2 linked regions of the Cricetulus griseus genome follow. The protein of the gene in region 2 binds, or shares a complex with, the protein of the main gene of each other region. Links are inferred from orthologs where the notes say so. Each region holds a gene or a part of one and is shown on either strand. Other genes may lie near its edges.

What was found.
Region 1: the proteins of Rbsn (region 2) and Rab4a are in contact, whole or in part, in a crystal structure (PDB 1Z0K), measured with the Homo sapiens proteins. The link is inferred for Cricetulus griseus from reciprocal best matches to the Homo sapiens genes RBSN and RAB4A. Residues at the interface, in NP_001289307.1 of Homo sapiens: Glu441, Gly442, Trp443, Leu444, Pro445, Ser447, Glu454, Pro458, Leu459, Gln461, Gln462, Asn465, Ile466, Phe469, Asp480, Glu481, Thr484, Leu485, Asn488, Leu492, Glu495, Gln499; in NP_004569.2 of Homo sapiens: Tyr10, Leu30, His31, Ile34, Glu35, Ile46, Gly47, Val48, Glu49, Phe50, Gly51, Ser52, Lys53, Lys63, Gln65, Trp67, Arg74, Phe75, Ser77, Val78, Ser81, Tyr82.

What each region holds. Positions count from the first base shown.
Region 1 is NC_048596.1:200,484,401-200,494,487, forward strand, and holds the start of Rab4a (ras-related protein Rab-4A), read left to right. Parts: upstream 1-3,583; 5' UTR 3,584-3,881; coding exon of another isoform or gene 3,882-3,912; intron 3,913-4,746; 5' UTR 4,747-4,766; coding exon 4,767-4,815; intron 4,816-10,087. UniProt on the Homo sapiens protein: The small GTPases Rab are key regulators of intracellular membrane trafficking, from the formation of transport vesicles to their fusion with membranes.
Region 2 is NC_048601.1:51,603,084-51,612,670, reverse strand, and holds the end of Rbsn (rabenosyn-5), read right to left. Parts: intron 8,052-9,587; coding exon 7,965-8,051; intron 7,247-7,964; coding exon 7,144-7,246; intron 4,703-7,143; coding exon 4,598-4,702; intron 3,908-4,597; coding exon 2,771-3,907; 3' UTR 434-2,770; downstream 1-433. UniProt on the Homo sapiens protein: Rab4/Rab5 effector protein acting in early endocytic membrane fusion and membrane trafficking of recycling endosomes. Required for endosome fusion either homotypically or with clathrin coated vesicles.

The sequences.
Region 1 (10,087 bases), on a different chromosome or scaffold from region 2:
GTCAGTATGAAGCAAAACTGTAGTTTATTAAGAGAAATGGGAGGGGGTGGTGCTGGAAAGATGGTTCAGTGGTTAAGAACACTTGCTCTTATAAAGGACCTGGGTTTGGTTCTCAGCACCCACATCAGGTGGATCACAAACCCTCTGTAACTCCAGTTCCAGAGGATCTGATACCCTCTTCTGGCCTTCAAGGAGGCACTTGCATGCATGTGATGCACACGTATGTATTCGGACCCACATGGATACACATAAAATTTTAAAATAATAAATCTTTTTAAGGCTTGTTTAGTTCTCTCTTACATGTATAGGTATTTAACTGCACATATGTCTGTGAACGCGTGCATATCATACCCATGGAGACTAGAAAGGGACATTGGATTCCCCTGGGATTGGAGTTACCCAAGGTTGCTAGCTGTCAAGTAGGTACTGGGAATTGAATCTGGATCCTCTGGAAGAGCAGCCAGTGTTCTTTTTCTTCCCGAGACAGGGTTTCTCTGTGTAGCCCTAGCTGTCTTGAATTCTATAGACCAGGACAGTTTAGACCAGGACAGGACAGAGTTTGATACACACTCTATCTCGAACTCAGAGATCTGCCTGTCTCTGCCTCCCAAGTACTGGGATTAAAGACATGTGGTACCACTGCTAGCTACAGCCAGTGTCCTTCATAGTTGGGCTCTCAGCCGGGTGTTGGTGGTGCATGCCTTTAATCCCAGCACTCAGGAGACAGAGGCAGGCGGATCGCTGTGAGTTTGAGGCCAGCCTGGTCTCCAGAGCGAGTGCCAGGATAGGCTCCAAAGCTACACACAGAAACCCTGTCTCGAAAAACCAACAACAACAAAAACAATAGTTGAGCTATCTCTCCAGCCTCCTTAAGGTTAATAAAGTTTTAATCATAGAAATTAAAAGAATGAGAGAGAGAGAAAAGAAAAGGACATGGGTGAATGGGTGTTCTCAAAAGAGAAGAGTGTGGCTGAAGATGGGGCTCAGTTGGTAAAGTGTTTACTAAGCATACATGAAGCCTAAACTCAATCCCCAGAGCTGCATAGACCAGGCATGGTGGTACAAAACTCTGATCTCAGCACTCAGGAGGCAGAGGCAGAAGTTCAAGGTTACCCTCAGTAACATACTGAGTTGGAGACCAGCCTTAGTTACATGAGACCCTGTCTCAAAAATAAAAATAAAAAAGAGAGAGAGACAGCTTCAAGTGTCTTAACAATAGCATATATATATATATATAATATTATATATAATATATTATGTTTATGATTTTGGTTTTATTTTAATTCTTTTATACATTTATTTATTGTGTATGTGCATGTACACATGTATGCTTACTATTTATTTTGTGTTGCATAAGTGAGCATTGCAGTCAGAGGATGAACTTTCTATGTTTTTGGTGCCAGGTCATCAGCCTTGGTGACAAGTACCTTTACTCACTAGGCCATTCTGTCAGCCCTGTTTTTTTTGTTTTGTTTTGTTAGTTTTTTTGTTTTGTTGTATGTGTATGTGTGTACAGGTGGACATGTATGTCTGTGCACATGTATGTAGAGGCCAGATGTTGATATTGGGTATCTTTCTCTATCACTACCTTCTTTTCTGACAGTTTATTTCTAAATCTGGAGGTTACTGATTTCACAAGAATAGCTGACCAGTAGGCCCCGTGGGTCTCTGTCACTGTCTTCCCAGTGTTAGGGTTACAGCTTTTTACACTGAGAATCTCAGCTCAGGTCCTCATACTTTGTATGACAAGCACTTACCAAATGGCTCACCTCCCAGCCCTTGCTTTTGTTTTTTGAGGCAGGTTAGCTGGAGTTTTCTTTCTATTACTGTGATAAAACACCACAACCAAAAGCAACTTGAGGAGGAAATGTTTATTTCAGAGTATACTTCCACATCAAAGTGTGTCATCAAAGAAAGTTAAGGTAGAAACTGGAGGCAGGAACTGAAGCAGAAGCCATGGAGGAGTGCTGCTTACTGGCTTGTTCCTCATGCCTAGCTCAGCCTGTTTTCTTATAGAACTCAGGCTACCTGCCCAGTGGTGGCACCATAGTGGGATGGGCCACTAATCAAGAAAATGCCCCACCAGCTTGCCTACAGACCAATTTTATGAAATAATTTTCTCAATTGTGGTGCCTTCTTCTCAGATACCAGCTCATGTCAAGTTGACAAAAAATACCAACCAGGACAGGGTCTCATGTAGCTAAGATTGGCTGGTTTGAACTCTCAATATTCCTTCCTCCATTTCTTGAGGGATAGAACTACAAACACGATATCATACTTGGCAATTTTGATGCCCTCCCTTTCTTTTTAAAAAATTAGGTCATAGAGTTGTTTCTGAGGTACACTTCATAGGATTAGAGGCCAAGATAAAAACATAGGTCACAAGGGCCAAAAGATTCTTTACTATATTAAGTCATAAAAGTTAAGACATTTTTGTTTGTTTGTTTGTTTTTGAGACAGAGTCTCACAAAGCAGCCCTGGCTTGCCTAGAACTCACTCTGTGAACCAGACTGGACTCAAACTCAGAGATCTGCTTGATTCTGCTTCCTGGGTTCTAGAATTAAAGGCCTGTGCCACCATGCCTAACTAAGACATGTGTTTTGAATGTAATCTTGTTTGTGAGGTCCTCAGAAATAGTACAGATTTACATCTGGGAAAGAAACTAAGCTAAGCTCAAAGCTCACATACTGGGGCCATAAGCACAGTTCATTGCTATCTTAACTTCTTATATGAAATATCTCTATTTCAAAATTGTGTAAGCAATCATTTTTGTACTTTTAAAACTTATTCATTTCTTTTTGAGCTGTGTCTCTTTTATCTTTGTTTCCCCTCCAATTCAAAACAATCCTCCAGCCTATGCCTCCCGAATGCTGAGATTACAGACAAGGGATACCTTGCTAGGCAATCTCAACTGCAAATTGTGCGTACTGTGCCAGCAAGAGGCTTCAACAAGTCTTCAGGATGAGGGCTCTTTTCCTAATTTCCTGTGTGAGAAAACACGAGAGTGAAATATTGAACCAGACAGCACGGAGCAGGTGATAGATTCGTGGCAGAGCCAGATGGCCTAGGATGAAAAGGTACACAGTGGCCTTCTCCACCATTCAGGCCTCTGTTGCTACTGTGAAGAAGGTAGGCTCTTAGGGCCTGGTTTGCTCAGGTGGGCCAAATTCCCAGTTTGCCTTTCAGTAATTGTCCCGGACCCCTTTCTTTGGGATAGGAGCAGGTTCTGTCCTGCATTGTTTCCTAAGCCGAACACACCTTTGAAATTAGCCTGCAGTAAGGGCCAGGCAACATTGTGCCCCAATCTCCAATGCACAGTTCCCTGAAAGTCTTGAGTCGGGGAGTTCAGGTGACCAATTACTCTTGCCTGGGGTAAGAGCTTGGCTTTCAGCTGGTGAACCAACCTCCCACCCCCCACCCCCTCCCCCCACCCCGTTTTCCTTCAAAGCAAGCCCCCGGTCCACCCCTGGCTTGCTAGGTCATACTTAAGGATGACTGAGTCTGTGTTGCAATGCCATCTGGGAGGACCTACCGGGTGCAGGCACCCCACCCGAGCCCCGCCCCTCCTTCCTTCCTGGTCCCCCTCCTTCATCTTCCTTCGCTTCACCTCCTCCTTGGAGTAGGAGCCTCTCACCAGTTCTCTCCCTGTCCCTCCACCCCTTCCCCAGCCCTGCTCCTCCTCCCTCCAGCGACCCCGCCTCCCCCCACCCCGGCCTGGCTCCTCAGCGGGGCGGCGGTGCGCAGGCGCGGAGCCGAGTCCCGCTGGGCCGCAGCCGGTGGCCGGCTCGCAGTGGGCCTGTACCCGGCCCTCCACGCTCGGTTCCCCCTCGCTCTGCGGACACCAGAGGACTGACCGGACCACGCGGAACTGTAGCGACAGAATGGCGCAGACCGCCATGTCCGAGACTTACGGTAAATCGCGCTGGTTCGTGGGTATGTGTGTAGGGGGGCAGGCCTTGGGATCCCGGAATGTTTGTGGCTGGGGTTAGGGTATCCAGAGCCGGTGTTTAGAATATCGAGATGTTGGGACTGGACTGGGATCCTAAGAACCTCGCGGTGTCAGGGGCCAGGTGAAGATACTGAGAATCTTGGGATGTTTATGGCTGGGCTGGGATCCTAGTAATCTTGGGATTCTGAGAATCTAGGTCTCAGGGGTCAGGTGGAGATACTGAGAATCCCGGGGTGTCAGCTGCTGGGATCCTGAGATTCTTGGAGTGTCAAGGTCGGGCTAGAACTTGAGAGCGCCTGGATGTTTGAGGCTGGGCTGGAATCTTGAGGATGGGGGTGGAGGGTGTCGGGAGCTGGGTTGGACTCTCTGGCCAGTAGGTGCTCCTAGCTGTGCAAAGCATTGTGATCCTCTCTTCCAAGTTCCCTCCTGCTTTGACCCTACATTGGATTATTTAAATAGATCAAGGTTGGGGGAGCCGGTTTATCACTGATTCTCCCCCTCCCCACTGCAGCACCGAGCGCAGGGATGAAGGCTCGGCCACGCCTGCATTTAGTGTCTTTGGGGGCATGGCTGTGGGCCCCTCAAGGTTTGGAATTCCTTTCTTTGCATTGAGATTATAATGAGTTTTAAATGGTTGAGTGCATCTCTTTTCTGGAGACCCCCTAGCCTCGTGTATCTTTCCATCCCTCCCTCATCCCTGTTTGGGTTGCATTATAGCTTTTTATAAACATATGTCCTCTTTATGACCATAAGCCTTGGATATGGAGCTGTGTTTTTCATCTTTGTTTCTCCTACAGCACCCAGCCGTTTCTAATGCATGTGCTGGGTATTGTCCCGCCCCTCCTCCCCCCACACACCCAGTCGAGGTAAGAATAAACAACTGGTAGTGTGCATGGTTGCCAGCCCCTAACTGAGACTTGAGACTTTGACTTGGTATGTGCTGGTTACAGGGAGGGACTCCCATGTAAAAGCATGGTGATCATTTCGTGTTATCCCAATGTGTTAACCTGCTACTTTCCTGCCACAGGGTGGGGCCAGGGTCCAGCCAGGGAGATTCTAATCATTGTAAAAGTGCTATGGAAACTTCCCCAAGAGTTTGCAGTCCAGTGAGGAATAGATTGTTAATCCAGTTGTGACCTTAATAGATGAACAATTAAAATCCAGGCAGCAGTTCCAAAAGAGCTTGGTCTGTCCAACTGTGTGAGAAAGAGCTGACCCAGATGGGTCAGAGAGGGGCATGTGGACAGGCAGATCTGGGGATCTGGTCTGGGAGCATGGTTTGGGCACCTTAACTTGAGTAGGCAGTTAAAGAACCTTGAGGTTTGGACTTTGAGAGGGTGGGACCCTGGGAAGGGTATTATGAGGCACACAGTAGCCTGGTGCACTGTCTCCTGGCACCAGCACTCTTGTGGCACTGAGGCATTTGTCTGACCCTAAGACACTATCTATGGGTATCGGTTTTGTCAGGGCTACAGGTGTGTTTACCTTTTCCTTCATTTCAAGGTATTTTCCAAATATGCCTTTAGTTTTAATTTTTGTTTATTTTGAGACAGTTTCTCTATATATAGTTCTGGACAACTTAGCCCAGGCTGGCCCCACACTTGAAGCAATATCCACAATATCCATGTGTCCCCATGTCCTGGTTTTTACTTTTGTTTTTTGGGGGGTTTTTTTGTTTTTGTTTTTTGAGACAGGGTTTCTCTGTGGCTTTGGAGGCTGTCCTGGAACTAGCTCTTGTAGACCAGGCTGGTCTCGAACTCACAGAGATCCACCTGCCTCTGCCTCCCGAGTGCTGGGATTAAAGGTGTGCGCCACCAACGCCCGGCTAGGTTTTTACTTTTTAACTAAGTCTGAATTTAGTCTTTCCTTTCAATGGAGGAAACAAACAAAAAGCAAATAGAAACTAATAAGTGGAAGTTTAGCTTTAGAAAGAGGCAAGAGTGGTCTCTAAAGCTGCTGGCATAAAAGAATAGTCACCCAGAACCAAGGCAGAGGCTGTCACCTTCACTCATCCTTGACTATGTTTACACAGTATTGTTCCCCAAATTAAAACAACCAAGACCTCTCCTTCCAGACCTTTGCCTGTTGGCTGGCATAGGAATGTTTGCCTAACCTTTAAGTTCCGTGTGTTTGAGGCTGGTTTTCTCTCTTCCGTGAAAGGAGGTTCTGTGCAGCTTGGTGGAAATTCAATGAAAAATGGGAGCCAGTGTTTATGGCTACTGCTATTGAGCTGGCTGCTAATGGCCTGTAGAACAGTCCTGGCACATTGCACAGGCTGAGTGGTGGTCAGCACTTTCTTGATCTGAAGTCCCTAACTCCACGAACACTGTGCTTTAGATCACGTAATAATGTAAATTGGAATGTTAAACAGGTAGGCTTTTCACTTTTGAAATGTGGTTAGCCTAGTCCACCTGATGAGACTGAGACACTAGGATATTAGTAAAGTATACTACTGGGTGTGGCTGTGGTGGGTTTCTAGACATGATTAGATACTAGAGGCTCCAGACTAATCAATGAATTAAACCCTTGATATATTCATTATCTGATGTTATTATTGGCAGGTGATCAAAGAGGTTGGAGGTAGGACATGACTGGAAGAAACTGGAGGAATGTCCTTGGAGCTCTTTTTCACCCCTGCCTCTTCTTGTAGTCCCTTCTCTCTGCTTCCTGGCCTCTGTTGATGTCAACTGTCCCATCACATATCCCCAGCTGCGATGGGCTGACTCCTGTGAAACTAAGCCAAACAAATCCCTCCTCCCTTCAGTTCTCTTGGGCATTTTGGTCCCAGCTAGCAAAAGTGAATGTCCCTAACCCGAAGGGAGGTTCTCCTAGTTATTGTTAGAGACACAGCATCCTATGGCTATATGCGTTCAATGAGCATTATCGGGGCCAAGGATTCATGTTGGCAGCCTGAGACCTGAGAGTTTGAAAGCTATCCTCAAGTACTTCCTGACACCCAATGGTGAGTCACAGAAATTACTAAGCAGTGTATGTGGTGGGAAAGTGCCAGGGAGCTTTTAAACCTCCAGGACAGAGAAGACTGACCTGGAGGAAGAATTTGAGACAGGTGACTGTGCATTACAATTTATGCCAGGTGCTATGCGAGAAACTCCTGAGACATAAGAATTCTGCTCATGTTGCTGGCCCCATGGTGGTTTCTGTCCTAGTATATTCAGCATAGTATATTCCACCTCGAAAATAACACACAGCGTTCTGGTGTCTAACAGATAAGGTTGAGATCATCAGGGTGTTTTTCTGCTAACTGCGCATCCTCATTTGTGTGCATGAGGTTTGAATTGTGTCCTCAAAGTCACACATACATCCTAGCTCTGGACCTGTGGATGTGACCTTATTTGGGACAAGGTCTTTGCTGGTGATTATTGAAGGTGGAGTCACGCTGGGGTTTTATGTCTCAAACTTGGTGACTGTGTTCCAGTGAGACCAGAGAAATATGGACATACATGTTTGTACATACACAAGGAGAGTGGGCTTTGGCAGCGAGCCTCAGGTTGGAGAGGTCCAGTACCCAGTCAAGGTACCCCCAGCATAGCTGCCAACCACCAGAAACTAGGAAGAGACAGGAAGCACCCCTTCCTGAGCCTGCAGGAGCTCAAATGCTGCCACACCTCACTGCAGCCTCTGGCTCTGACAGCAAATATCTGCCACATTAAGCCAGTGGACTTGGGACACTTTAAGGTAAAAGCCTCGGAAGGTAACTCACAGGACTTAGTTGTTACATGATGAATCTTGAAATGTAGGCTTGATAAGGCAATTTGGATTGTCGAGGATATGCCAAATTAAAAAGAGCAACATTTTCAAAGTCCCTTCATTTATAAAGTAAAATTAATTTCCTGTTTGGAAAATCACCTGAATTACCATTGCCTTAACTCAAAATTACAAAACATTTAAACAGTTCAAGCAGACATCAGAAAAAAGACTGCCAAAGTTGGGGTTTTCTTTTTCTCATTCATTGAAGATTTTAAGAAGCAAGGACTAGGGCTGGGGTGGGAGGCATGTCCTTGATCTCAGCACTTAGGACGTGGAGGCAGAAGGATCAGAAGTTGAAGGTCATCCCTTACTATACTATATAGGGAGCTGGAGAACAACCTATGCTACATGTGATCCTGTATCAAAAAAAAAAAAAAAAGGAAAGAGAGAGGAAAGGGAAGGAGGTATGGAGGAAGGAGAGAAAGGCAGGCTAGTAAGATGCCTCGGAAGGCAGAGCACTCATTTCACAGTCAGACTCCTCATAGGACCCGCAGCTCCCTGGATGTGCATGAGAGAAGGGGCCTTGAGAAAATTATGTTGGAATTCAGTATCATTGAAAAACCATGATTATTGGGTAAATATAAGTTTGAAATTTTCTTCTTGCTATAATAGCAGTCCTTCTGTTAAAGACCATGCCAGTGTCTTTGTTTTTTGTTTGTTTGTTTGTTTAAGAATTCCCATGTTGGCCGGGTGGTGGCATATGCCTTTAATCCCAGCCAGCACTCTGGGATCTCTGGGAATTTGAGGCCAGCGTGGTCTACAAAGTGAGTTCCAGAACAGCTATAGCTATTATATTATAAAGAAACCCTGTCTCAAAAAAAAAAAAAAAGAAAAAGAATTTACATGTTGGCCCACTTTGTATCAATTATTCATAACAAGACTTCTTTTTTTTAACAATTCAACATTGATTTACTATGAACCAGGCTGACCTCAAACTTACAGAGATCTACCTGCCTCTGCCTTCTGAATGCTGGGATTAACCCAACTCTGTGTGTGTGCGCGCGCGCGCGCGCGCGCGCGCGTGCGTGCGTGCGTGCGTGCGTGTGTGTGTGTGTGTGATGTATGGGTGCCCACAGAGGTCCAAAGAGGACATCTGAGCTTCTGGATCTGGAGTAACAGGCAGCTGTGAGCTGGGCCCTGGAGTCGAACTCTGGTTCTCTGGAAGGGCAGGAAGTGTTCTTAACTATTGAGTCATCTCTCCACCCCTGAACATTTCTTTGACATGAGAAAAGGTTCATGTTGTTTCTGGAATTTCTTCTCTCAGGTCTTCCTAGGGGGTGTGGTCAAACTGAGCTTGTATGTTTTTATCATTCTTAGTAATTCTAGTAGAATATTGCCCAGTTAAAGTGTTGGAAGCCTCTGCTGGCTTGCGCCCTGGCCTGTGCCTTAACCCCTGTTGCTGGATAGGGCAATTGTGGGGTATGTGTGTGTTTGTAAGATTTACTTTTCTATTATATGTATGAGTGCTTGCCTGGATGTATGTAAATATACTGTGTGTGCCTGATGCCCAAAGTGGTCAGATGACAGCATTGGATGCCCTGGAACTGGAGTTATGGTGATCATAATATGGGATCAAGCAGGTGATTGTGAGATGGGATCAAGCTGGATTGTTTTCTGTGCATTTGAAGGCCATGTGATATTTGCTACTTACTGACTGTAACTGTGGAATAAAATATAAGATGGCACAGGACAGTTCTACCTATTATTTAAAAGGTAGAACTGAGTGTCATGCCAATAGTCCCAACACTTGTGAAGTAGAGGTAGGAGGGTAGCCTGGGCTATATGAAACCCTGTCTTTTAAAAAGATAAAAGAAAAGGAACTATATTATAGCAGAGAACATAAGGCAAGTAAGCACTGTATACTTAAACATTTTATTTATTTATTATTTTTTAAGCTTGTCTATGAGTTCCAAGGAGCTGGGTGGGGTAGCACAGCCTTTAATCCTAGCTCCCAGAGGCAGAAGCAATCAGATCCAGCCTGGTCTACATAGAGAGCCATAGGCCAGCAAGGGCTGCAAAGTGAGACCTTGTTTCAAAATCAAGAGTTCCAAAGGAAGTTTATGTTGTGAAAGACTTGGTCAGTACAAATAAGTGTGTGATGACAGTGAATTTGATGCCTAGTTGAATGTATGCTCCAATACTGCATCAAAACAAGTCCCGCCTCCAACAGCCGCACACAGCACTTAGTGGTCGAGTCCTGTGGTTGTTTCTACTTCTCTCTTCTGGTTTTTGTTGTTGTTGTTTTGTTTTAAGACAGAGTTTCAGGCTGGAGAAATGGCTTAGTGGTTAAGAATGCTTGTTCTCTCCCAGATGACCCAAGTTCAATTCCCAGCATGCATATCAGGTTGCTCACAACTTGTAACTCCCCTG
Region 2 (9,587 bases):
CTAGTCCCAAAGAGAAACAACTCACACAAAGGTGATCTCAGAACTTGAGATCACATACTTTTTGTGTGTGTGTGAGAAGTTTTATTAGAAAGGGAAGGGGGGAGGAAAGAGAAAAGAGGTAAAGAGACAGAGAGAGGACAGAAGAGGGAGACAGGAAAAGTCCTGTCTGCCCCAGGGGAACAGCAGGAAAGAGATGAGATCACACACTTAATTCCAGGGTTTGACAGATATAAAAGGAAGAAACAAACTCCGCCTCAGAGATTTATTCTCCAGTCACGCTGAGGAGAGGACAGCCATTTCAGCCTGAAGTAGAGGTAAGAGCTAGTGGCTGGCTGCTTTGCTTCTCTGACTCTCAGACAAGCTTTAATAAATGATAAATAATATATCACTATAGGGGATGGAGGGTTGTTTTAAGAACACACACACCCAGCCACAAACATGTTATTTTTTAATAAAAGACTCACATACATGTTGTTTTATTTTAATAAAAGCCTCTGATACAAGGCCCCAGTGTAGTGCATGCACATCAATGACCATCGAGCTGACAGCCACCATGATTATTAGCACACCTGTTCCTCCAGTCTGACCTAGTACAGAGACCAACTCCTCAATGCGGATCGAATGGCCTAGCTATGCCACATGACTCATGATGACTTAGAAGGACATTTTAGCATCTGACAACAAAGACATGATGAGCAGTAAGTGCCGTGAGTGAGGCTCCAGTTCCTTAGTGTGTTAGAAGGGGACAAAGTCAGAAGCCCTTCCACAGACGAGCGTGACCTCTGTCTAGAGGAGCTGCCAACTCCCTGTCAAGGATGTGCTCCTTTACTAAGCAGGTGGGGCTGTTTTCCCTGGAGCACCTCTGGGTCAGCAAGGGTTCAAATGAGGTACACTGTGTAGTTACACTCACAGGCCAAACCCTCTGCAAACCAACCTTGACCTACATAAATTCTAGGAAGTGATACAGCCAAAGGGTAGACAAGTCTCCCCTGTCATGTCTTACTTACAGAGTATTGTCAAAGAGGAATTCAAGGAGAAACTCAGTGAAACATCTGGGGTCTGTTTACTTGGTTTAATACTCAGTGAATTGAGATTTTAAAAATAGTTGTTAGAAGCACTTGTTTTTTCCATGCTCTCAGTCACAGACTGCTACCTGGAGGTGAGTTCAGGAAAGGAGTACATTTAGCTAATTAAGAAAAGCAATGTCTACAGCCATACCACCCTGAACACCTTGGATCTATATCAGGAAAAGTGGCTGTGGGAACCAGTATTGAGCTTCATTCTGTGTAAAGAGCCGCCTCCTCTTCCATCAGACAAAAGACAGTCCAAGCAAGGTGGATATGCTGGGCCTGTCTGGAACCGTAGGGCAACAGCATCTAGAGCCTGGGCCTTAGCAAGAGAAGAGGCCTGCCCCAGGAAACTCGGATGCCAGGCTGCCCACCTCCCAGGACAGCCCATGACACCACCAGAGCTGGCAACTGACTGGCACTGGTAATACACTCACAGGTCAGTAAACACCTGCTGACAGAACCCAAAAAGTTCTCCATTACCCTCCCTCTCCAACAGGACTTTCTACCCAGTCAAAGCCCCCAACAGATACTAATGAACAGTTGCCAAAATAGAGATCTTTGCACCAGATGCCATTCTTACCACCAAGATGGATCTTCACCAGAATGTGACAAAAGAATTTCAGCCTATACACCAATAACCAACAGAAGCCATGGCTCAGGGGTAAAGTGCCTAGTGGTCAGTTATTGTCCATTAACTAAATAGCATCACTGAAGAGATTACACAGAGCTGAGCACACCAGGATCTTACAAAGTCATCTGTCAACCCATCTGTTTCTGTAAACCAAAGCACTAAGCTACATAACTTCTCTTTCTGTCCCTATCAGAGTTCAAGTACTTCAGGACTATGGAATGATCTGAGGTTGTGCATCAAATATTTCTCTTTCTCAGTACTCCAAGTAGTAGGAAAACATCTCACCAGTTTCCCAGGTCAGGATGAACCACAGTGAAGGCTAAAATTTATTTCCTGACTCAGAAGTGTCCCATCTGCTGCCGATACTCCACAGAAGCTTCCTGGTCAGATTCCTAAATTGCACTACAGGCCCTTCAATGTGACCTAGAGAGTGGCCATTCTCCCAAACTATAACATCCACCAAAAAGCTGATCACTCCTATCTCATAATCAAGCTCACATTGACAACCCTGCACTTGGAAACTTTACTTCCTTTAACTGGGAGAGGATAACACTGGCAACGTCTCCACTAGTCCCCCTGGGTCCAGACTTCCCTTCATAGTAGCCATCTCCCTAAGTGTCCAGGAGACAGCCCAAGGAGGGAGGTGGTGAAAGGCAACAGCCAAATAGAGTCTTCTTCCAGAGTCCCTACCTGTCTTGGCTACAGGAAGGGGCCCGTGAAGGACTGACCTATAATACTGCATTGAAGACCAAGACCAGTCAGCAGGAAATGGACCAAGAGGTGTCCAGGAGCCATTCTGCCTTGGCCCAACAGAGATGCACTGAGCTGTATCTCAGAAATAAAATGGTAAAGTCCCCTGAAAAGGGAACACACCGTTAAAAAAATAATAATACAGAAAAACCAGCAAACGAATGCCGATTTGTTTTCTGTTCTTGTTCAACTATAGTGGAAACACCTCAAAGTGCACAACAAGAGACTACTGTTCCCACCCCTCACTGTGTGCATCCAGATGCCCACCTAGCTCCTCCTCCCCCTCGGTACCCTGCTGCCTGGTCCCTGACCACTGCTGTCAGTTAGGGCCCCCCTTCTGCTTAGCCAGGGTACACTTCAACTCCCGAAGGTTCTCAGTCAGCACCTCAACCTCGTCCATTCGACCACACTGCTTGGCATCAAAGATGTAAGCCTTGATGTTGTCAATCTGCTGCAGGAGCAGCTCCTCCTCAATGTGCTCCTCAGCCTCTGTGCCACTGTCACTGTCCACCTCAAAGGGGTTGGTGCAGGGGCACTCCTCAAAAGGGTTTCCAGGGGCAGGTGGGCTGGCAGGCCTGGGATGGTCATCCTCATCAAAGGGGTTGGGTGCTGGACTGTTTGGGTCAGTGAAGGGATTCCCTGCCCCTGACTCTCCTGCCTCCTCTTCCTCAGCATCTTCCTCAAAAGGATTGTATTCTCTGGTGACAGGAGCTGAAGGGCCCAGGAAAGCCTCTGCAGCAGCAGGGCTGGTAGCACCCTCTGCAGGGCTGGAGAGGTCTTCATCAAATGGGTTGAGAGAGGTCTTATCACTTTGTTGTGACATGGTGTTCTGCAGGAGTAATTCCTGGCCAAGTGCTGGGGGCCCAGACCATAAGTGGATAGGTGCTAGAGTTGAGCCAGGTGAAAGGGTATTGGGGGCAGTGCTGCCCTGAACTGGGGAGAAGTCCTGATCCAAGGCATAGGCAAGATCACTGTGAGGCCCTCGGTTGGGATCCAACTGGAAGGGTACGACATCTCGGAGATCTAGAGCACGAGTCCGTGTGTGCAGGGATGCTGCCAGGAACTGCTCCTGTTCTCGCTCCAGCTCCCGCCTGCGGAGCATCTGCAGCTGCTCTCGCTGCAGCTCCTCCTCCTCAGCCTGCCTCCGGGACAGTTCAATGGCCTTCTCAGTCTGCTGCTGGTCATACTCATCCTGCAGCTGCCTCAGGTTCTCCTGAAGTGTACGCACCTCATCTGTGCGGCCTGCAGCCTTGGCCTGCCTGATGAAGGACGTGATGTTGTTGATTTGCTGGAGGAGAGGGTCAGGGTTTTCACTCTGCCCCTGACCTTCTGACAGTGGAAGCCAGCCCTCAGCTTTTCGCAAGGGAGCATGGATGCCTCGGAGAGACTTCGCTTCCCCATTGGCTGCAAAACCACTCTGCCTTTCTTCGAGCTTCCTCCGGGACTCCAGAGCAGCCTGCAGAGACAGCACACACCACCAGGGTCACCATGGTCAACAGGCCAGCAGTCCTCCCTTTCTGCCACCCTCCATGGTCCCCACAACACTAAGATAACTCAACTGCTGAAACAAGGTAGTCACAGAAGGGCAGGCTTAGATTTTCAGAAATAAAACATAAGTTCAGGTGATTTCTTCAAACTTAGTTTCACTGGCTATACACTTTTCTTAAACTTTCAAAGACTGCCACCCTTATTAACATAAGGTTAGCATTTCAGATGACACTAAAGTACACAGTGTTCTAAGTTTTCATTTTGTTTTTTTGTGGTACTGGAAATAGAACCCAGGGCCTCAAGCATGCTAAGCAAGCATTCTATCACCGGACTATGAAACAGCACCCTCATTTTTTTTGTAAGTAACACGGCCTCACTATCTAGCCCAGGCTGGTCTGGAATCCAGGCATGTACCACCACACCTGCTGTCTTCTGTTTAACAGTACACATTCCAAGGTCTTTTGGAACTTGCCTGCAAGCCTACCAAAGGGAAAATTGTCAATCCCTGTGGTGGTCTAGGCAGGAGAGCATCAGCAGGAAAAACAACTATTTTTCTAAGGCCATAACAGAAGCCAGCTTGAGAAAGAGACTCAGCAGCAGAGGGCTAGGGTATGACAGCAGGAAGACAATAGCTACTGGGTGCCTGGGTGCCCCGCACCTGTCTCTCCATGGTCCTCTTCTGTTCCAAGTCTTGCTTCCTTTTCTTTTTCAGTTCTTCAAACTGTTCTTTGGTTGGCAATGACATCAAACCCAGTAACTTTTCCTGTAGGAGAGTAATAGACAATTTTACACGTAAGTGGGTTTTTTTTGGGGGGGGAGGAGACATGACAGGGGCTGGGCCTTAAGCCTTATACACTTAAGCTAAGCCACTCCACCCCCTGACAGGAAGGATATTCTTCCTAATTGGCAGACACCTTTCAGATGGACCTGACTTCTCCTTATGAGACGGCCATATCTTATCTCCAGGTATCTCCCAGGACTGTGCCAGTTTTTCCCTGAGGCTGTGTCCCGATCCCATCTACCAACACCCATCTAGACTCCAGCACTCCCGCCACCCACCACCCGCCACCCTTTGTGCTTAATCACCAACCCCAGATCTCTCCCTCGTACTTCATACTGCCCAACATATCACCTTTTAGTAATTTTTGTTGATTCCTTGCTATGTAACCACATTCTTTTTTTTTTTTTTCTTTTTGGTTTTTCAAGACAGGGTTTCTCTGTGTAGCTTTGGAGCCTATCCTGGTACTCGCTCTGGAGACCAGGCTGGTCTGGAACTCACGCCTGCCTCTGCCTCCCGAGTGTTGAGATTAAAAGCGTGCTCCACCAACGCCCGGCTATGTAACCACATTCTACCAATAGAAATATTCCCTCCTGGCCGGGCGTTGGTGGTGCACACCTTTAATCCCAGCACTTGGGAGGCAGAGGCAGACGGATCTCTGTGAGTTTGAGGCCAGCCTGGTCTACAAGAGCTAGTTCCAGGATAGGCTCCAAAGCTACACAGAGAAACCCTGTCTCGAAAAACCAAAAAAAAAAAAAAAAAAACAAAAACAAAAACAAAAAACCCTCCTGGAGGACTTTTAAGCTGGAGGCTTAAGTCATGAAACTTCAAGAAACTGACAAGACTCAGGAAACTCATGAAACTTCTAGGGCTCCTGGCCTTCCTCAGATGATCCGAGCAAGAAACAATGCCAGGGAGAGGAGTCTTCTTAGAGCTCCTTCAACCAAGTCATCTAGGGGCTCCAACAATGCAGGGGACATCAGAGGTAGAAAAATGCAACTCAGATCTAGTCACCTAGGTTTATAGCCTACTCTTGAACCATTAGCCAATGGCCCAGAAAGAGTCCCCAAAAGAAGAAATATAACTTACCACTAATAGCAAAAACTTAGGATTCATCAACTCCCCCAATGAGTGGTTCAACAAAGGAGAGCATACAGAGTCAAAGTAGCATTCCATGGCCAACAAAGCATAGAAGATTCAGTGATTAAAATGATACAAATCGGGGTTGGGGATTTAGCTCAGTGGTAGAGTGCTTGCCTAGCAAGCACAAGGCCCTGGGTTCAGTCCTCAGCTCGGTGGGAGGGGGGGGGGATGACGACACACAAAAAGAATATAAAATGATATAAATTTGTAGGTATGTATGGAAGGGTTGATCTTCCTTGTCTACTTGGATGGGTTTAGAATTGAAACACACCTCTGGGTGTGTCCATAAAGGTCTTTCCAAAAAAAAGTTTCAGGTGGGAAGACCCACTCTGGTGTGGGTGGCACTGTCCTATAAGCTGGGCTCCCAGACTGAATAAAAGGAAAGAGCTAGCTGAGCACCAACATTCATCTGTCTCTGTTTCCTGACTCAGATAAAATGTGACCAGTTTCTTCAAGCTCCTGTCACCATGACCACTTCACCTTGACAGATTTCAAACTGTAGCCCAAATAAAGTCTTCCTTAAGTTCAAAGTATTTTATCACAGCAATGAGAAAAATAATGCAATGAACTAATTATAAATATCGCATATAAAATGTAAATAGAGAAACAGAATTAAGAAAGAAAATATAACAGAATGAAGAACAATTGTATTGGAGACATAGGATTAAAAGCTATTTTAAACACAAGACCTGGGGCTGCAGAAATGGCTCAGGAGTAAAGAGGACCTGAATTTGGTTCCGGCTCCAACATCAGTTACTTCAACTGCCTGTCACTCCAGATCCAAGGGATTTAATGCCCTCTCTGGACTCTGCAGCACTTGCACTTACATGCCTATCAATCCACATGCAGACACACGCATACACAATCAAAAAGAAAATCTAAAATACAAAACACACACACACACACACACACACACACACACACACACACACACACACACACACACACGATAGATAGATACATGGATGGATGGATGGATGGATGGATGGATGGATGGATAAATAGATGGATAGATAGATGGCATGAAGCAGGAGGTAGACTAGCTAGGATGAAGTTATGAGCAGGAATGGAAGGAAAGAGAGTGGGTAATGGGGGTGAGTATATCCAAAATAACTGTATGTATGTATGAAGTTGTCAAAATGTTTAATGATTTTTAAAAAGTATCTTTACTTTTACTTGGGTTTTATCTTTTTCTCCAAATGTGGTATTCATAATTTTAAGGAATAATAATATACCAATAGAAAACAAGCAAGTCACACACTTAATGTCACAAATGACTTTACCTGCACAAATAGTGTAGCTGAATATCTGATCATTCTCTGTAGCCGCAAGGTGTTTGGATGTGGTGAAGGATCCTGGTTCAAGCCCAAGGTTAAGATCTTCTTACTATATTGGAATAAACGTGTCAATGTAATGGTGCTGCCAGCCTCAGCAACAGAGTGAAGTCTCTGGAGCTGCCAGGCTTTCATACCACGAGGATGTGGAACAACACAGAAGAAACTGAAGTGTCCCTCATAGCAAGGCCCATTCCTTACCCTCTGGCTACTCTAACACTGCACTGATGAATGCTTGGTCACAGTAGTAGCAACACAGGAAAGCCTGGCTTCACAAGTGAACACAGGGTATGGCAACTAACAACCCATATTTTCATGACTTGCTGTCACTATCTTAAAATATTCAAGAGTGGAGCCACACAAAGAACCTGTGTTTCTATCAAAGCTTCTCTCTTATAAAATGGAGGTGCTAATCCTGATCTGTCCCACGAGGACAGGCATACAGGTAGTACAGCAGCTAGTTCTTATTTCTTTATTACTAATGAACATCAGAAATCTTTTTCTCTAGTCCCCAGTATGCTAGGGACGCAACCCAGGGCATTGTACATACTAGGAGAATACTCTATTACTGATCTACACACCACCGGTAAGCACTCCAAATCCTTAACAAGAAGTTCCAGAGCTACAGTAGATGAAAAAGTTCCTCCACTGTTTTCACTGTCACCAGGAATCTAGATAAGCCCAAGCTGCTCCCCACCACTCACTGTTTCATCAAAACACCATTTTTGTCCCATTAGCAAGCAGCAAAAACATGATCTAGCAAACTTTACCTTAAAGTGTCTATTAGTTCATACACTTTCTGCACTTCCACTCGAAGGTCATTGGCATGCTCCAGACTGTAGGTTGTTTCCCCAGCACTGAGGAGAAATCATAAATCATGGTGCTAACTGAAGAGCGCAGTGTTTACATCCTCAGACACAGGTGGTTAATTCTAAGGCATTCGAGACTCATGAAGACAATGCAATAATTCCTCAGGATGCAGTAATCAAGCAGAAGTCATTTCAATGTGCAGACACCTCAGGGACAAACCACTGACCAGGCTTCTGAGGACCACCTCTTTTATTTATTTTTTTTTAAAGATTTGTTTTACTATTTTTAGGTATGTGTATGGGTTAGTATATGTGCCTAGTATATGTGTCAGATCCCCTAGAGCTGGAGTTACAGGAGGTTGTGAGGTTATGAGCCATCTGACATAGGTGCTGGGAACCTAACTCTAGTGCTCTGGAAGAACACTCCGTAACTGCTGAGCTATCACTCCAGCCCCCAAAGACCAGCTTTTATACTCATCAACAAAACAAATGCAGCTGAGTTCATTCTGACCCACTTTTCCTGAACAATCCCTCACTTTATCTTATAGGAGGTATAAAGTGACTTAGTAAATGAGCCAATGAAACTACAGGAAAGCCAGAAGTCACTTGGCTTTTCACACTCAGCTACTGCTTAAGAAGAGGAGTAACAATGCAGTGAACAGGAATCCCCAGAGCTATGCCAACTGCCCCACAGACTCTCTCTCACAAACAACTGCTCCAGATAGGAGAAAAGCACCCAGACTTCAAGTCTAACAGAATGAGACTAACTGTCCAGAATGGTGAGCAGTTATCAGAAAAGACCAGAAGCAACTTAATCCAGGACAGCAGCAGCATCTTTTTTTTTTTTTTGGTTTGTTTTGAGACAGGGTTTCTCTGTAGCTTTGGAGCCTGTCCTGGAACTAGCTCTTGTAGACAAGGCTGGTCTCAAACTCACAGAGATCCGCCTGCCTCAGCCTCCAGAGTGCTGGAATTAAAGGCGTGCAGCACCAACGCCCGGCAAGCAGCAGCATCTTTAGCGTTGTAATTATTGAATTTGCAAGCTTGTCACCCAGGCTTGCCAGACTGCTGACTCCAAGTGCCATGATTGTGGCTATTCTTTACCATATTCTTGGTTATAAACTTTTGGATCATGAGAACGGCTCAGCAGCTTTCTCAGCTGTAACCAGCCTCACCACCAGCCACTCAACTCTTCATGGGAGGCAGCTGCAACTTAAATAAGCATTACAAATTTACCATGTATAATGCAGTTCTGGCTGAAAAAAATATATATGGGAGTGTTTTATCATCAGGGGATTCAATACAGTGGCTTTATCATCTTTTCACCACAAAATATGCAAAAAAAAAAAAAATGGAAGTAAAAAGGCAGGCTTTGTATAGCTGGGTGTTGGTGGTGCACACCTTTATTCCCAGCACTCGGGAGGCAGAGGCAGGCAGATCTCTGTGAGTTTGAGGCCAGCCTAGTTTACAGAGCGGGTGCCAGGATAGGCTCCAAAGCTACACAGAGAAACCCTGTCTTGAACAAACAAACAAACAAACAAACAAACAAAAACAAAACAAAACAAAAAAAAAAGAAAAAAAAAACAG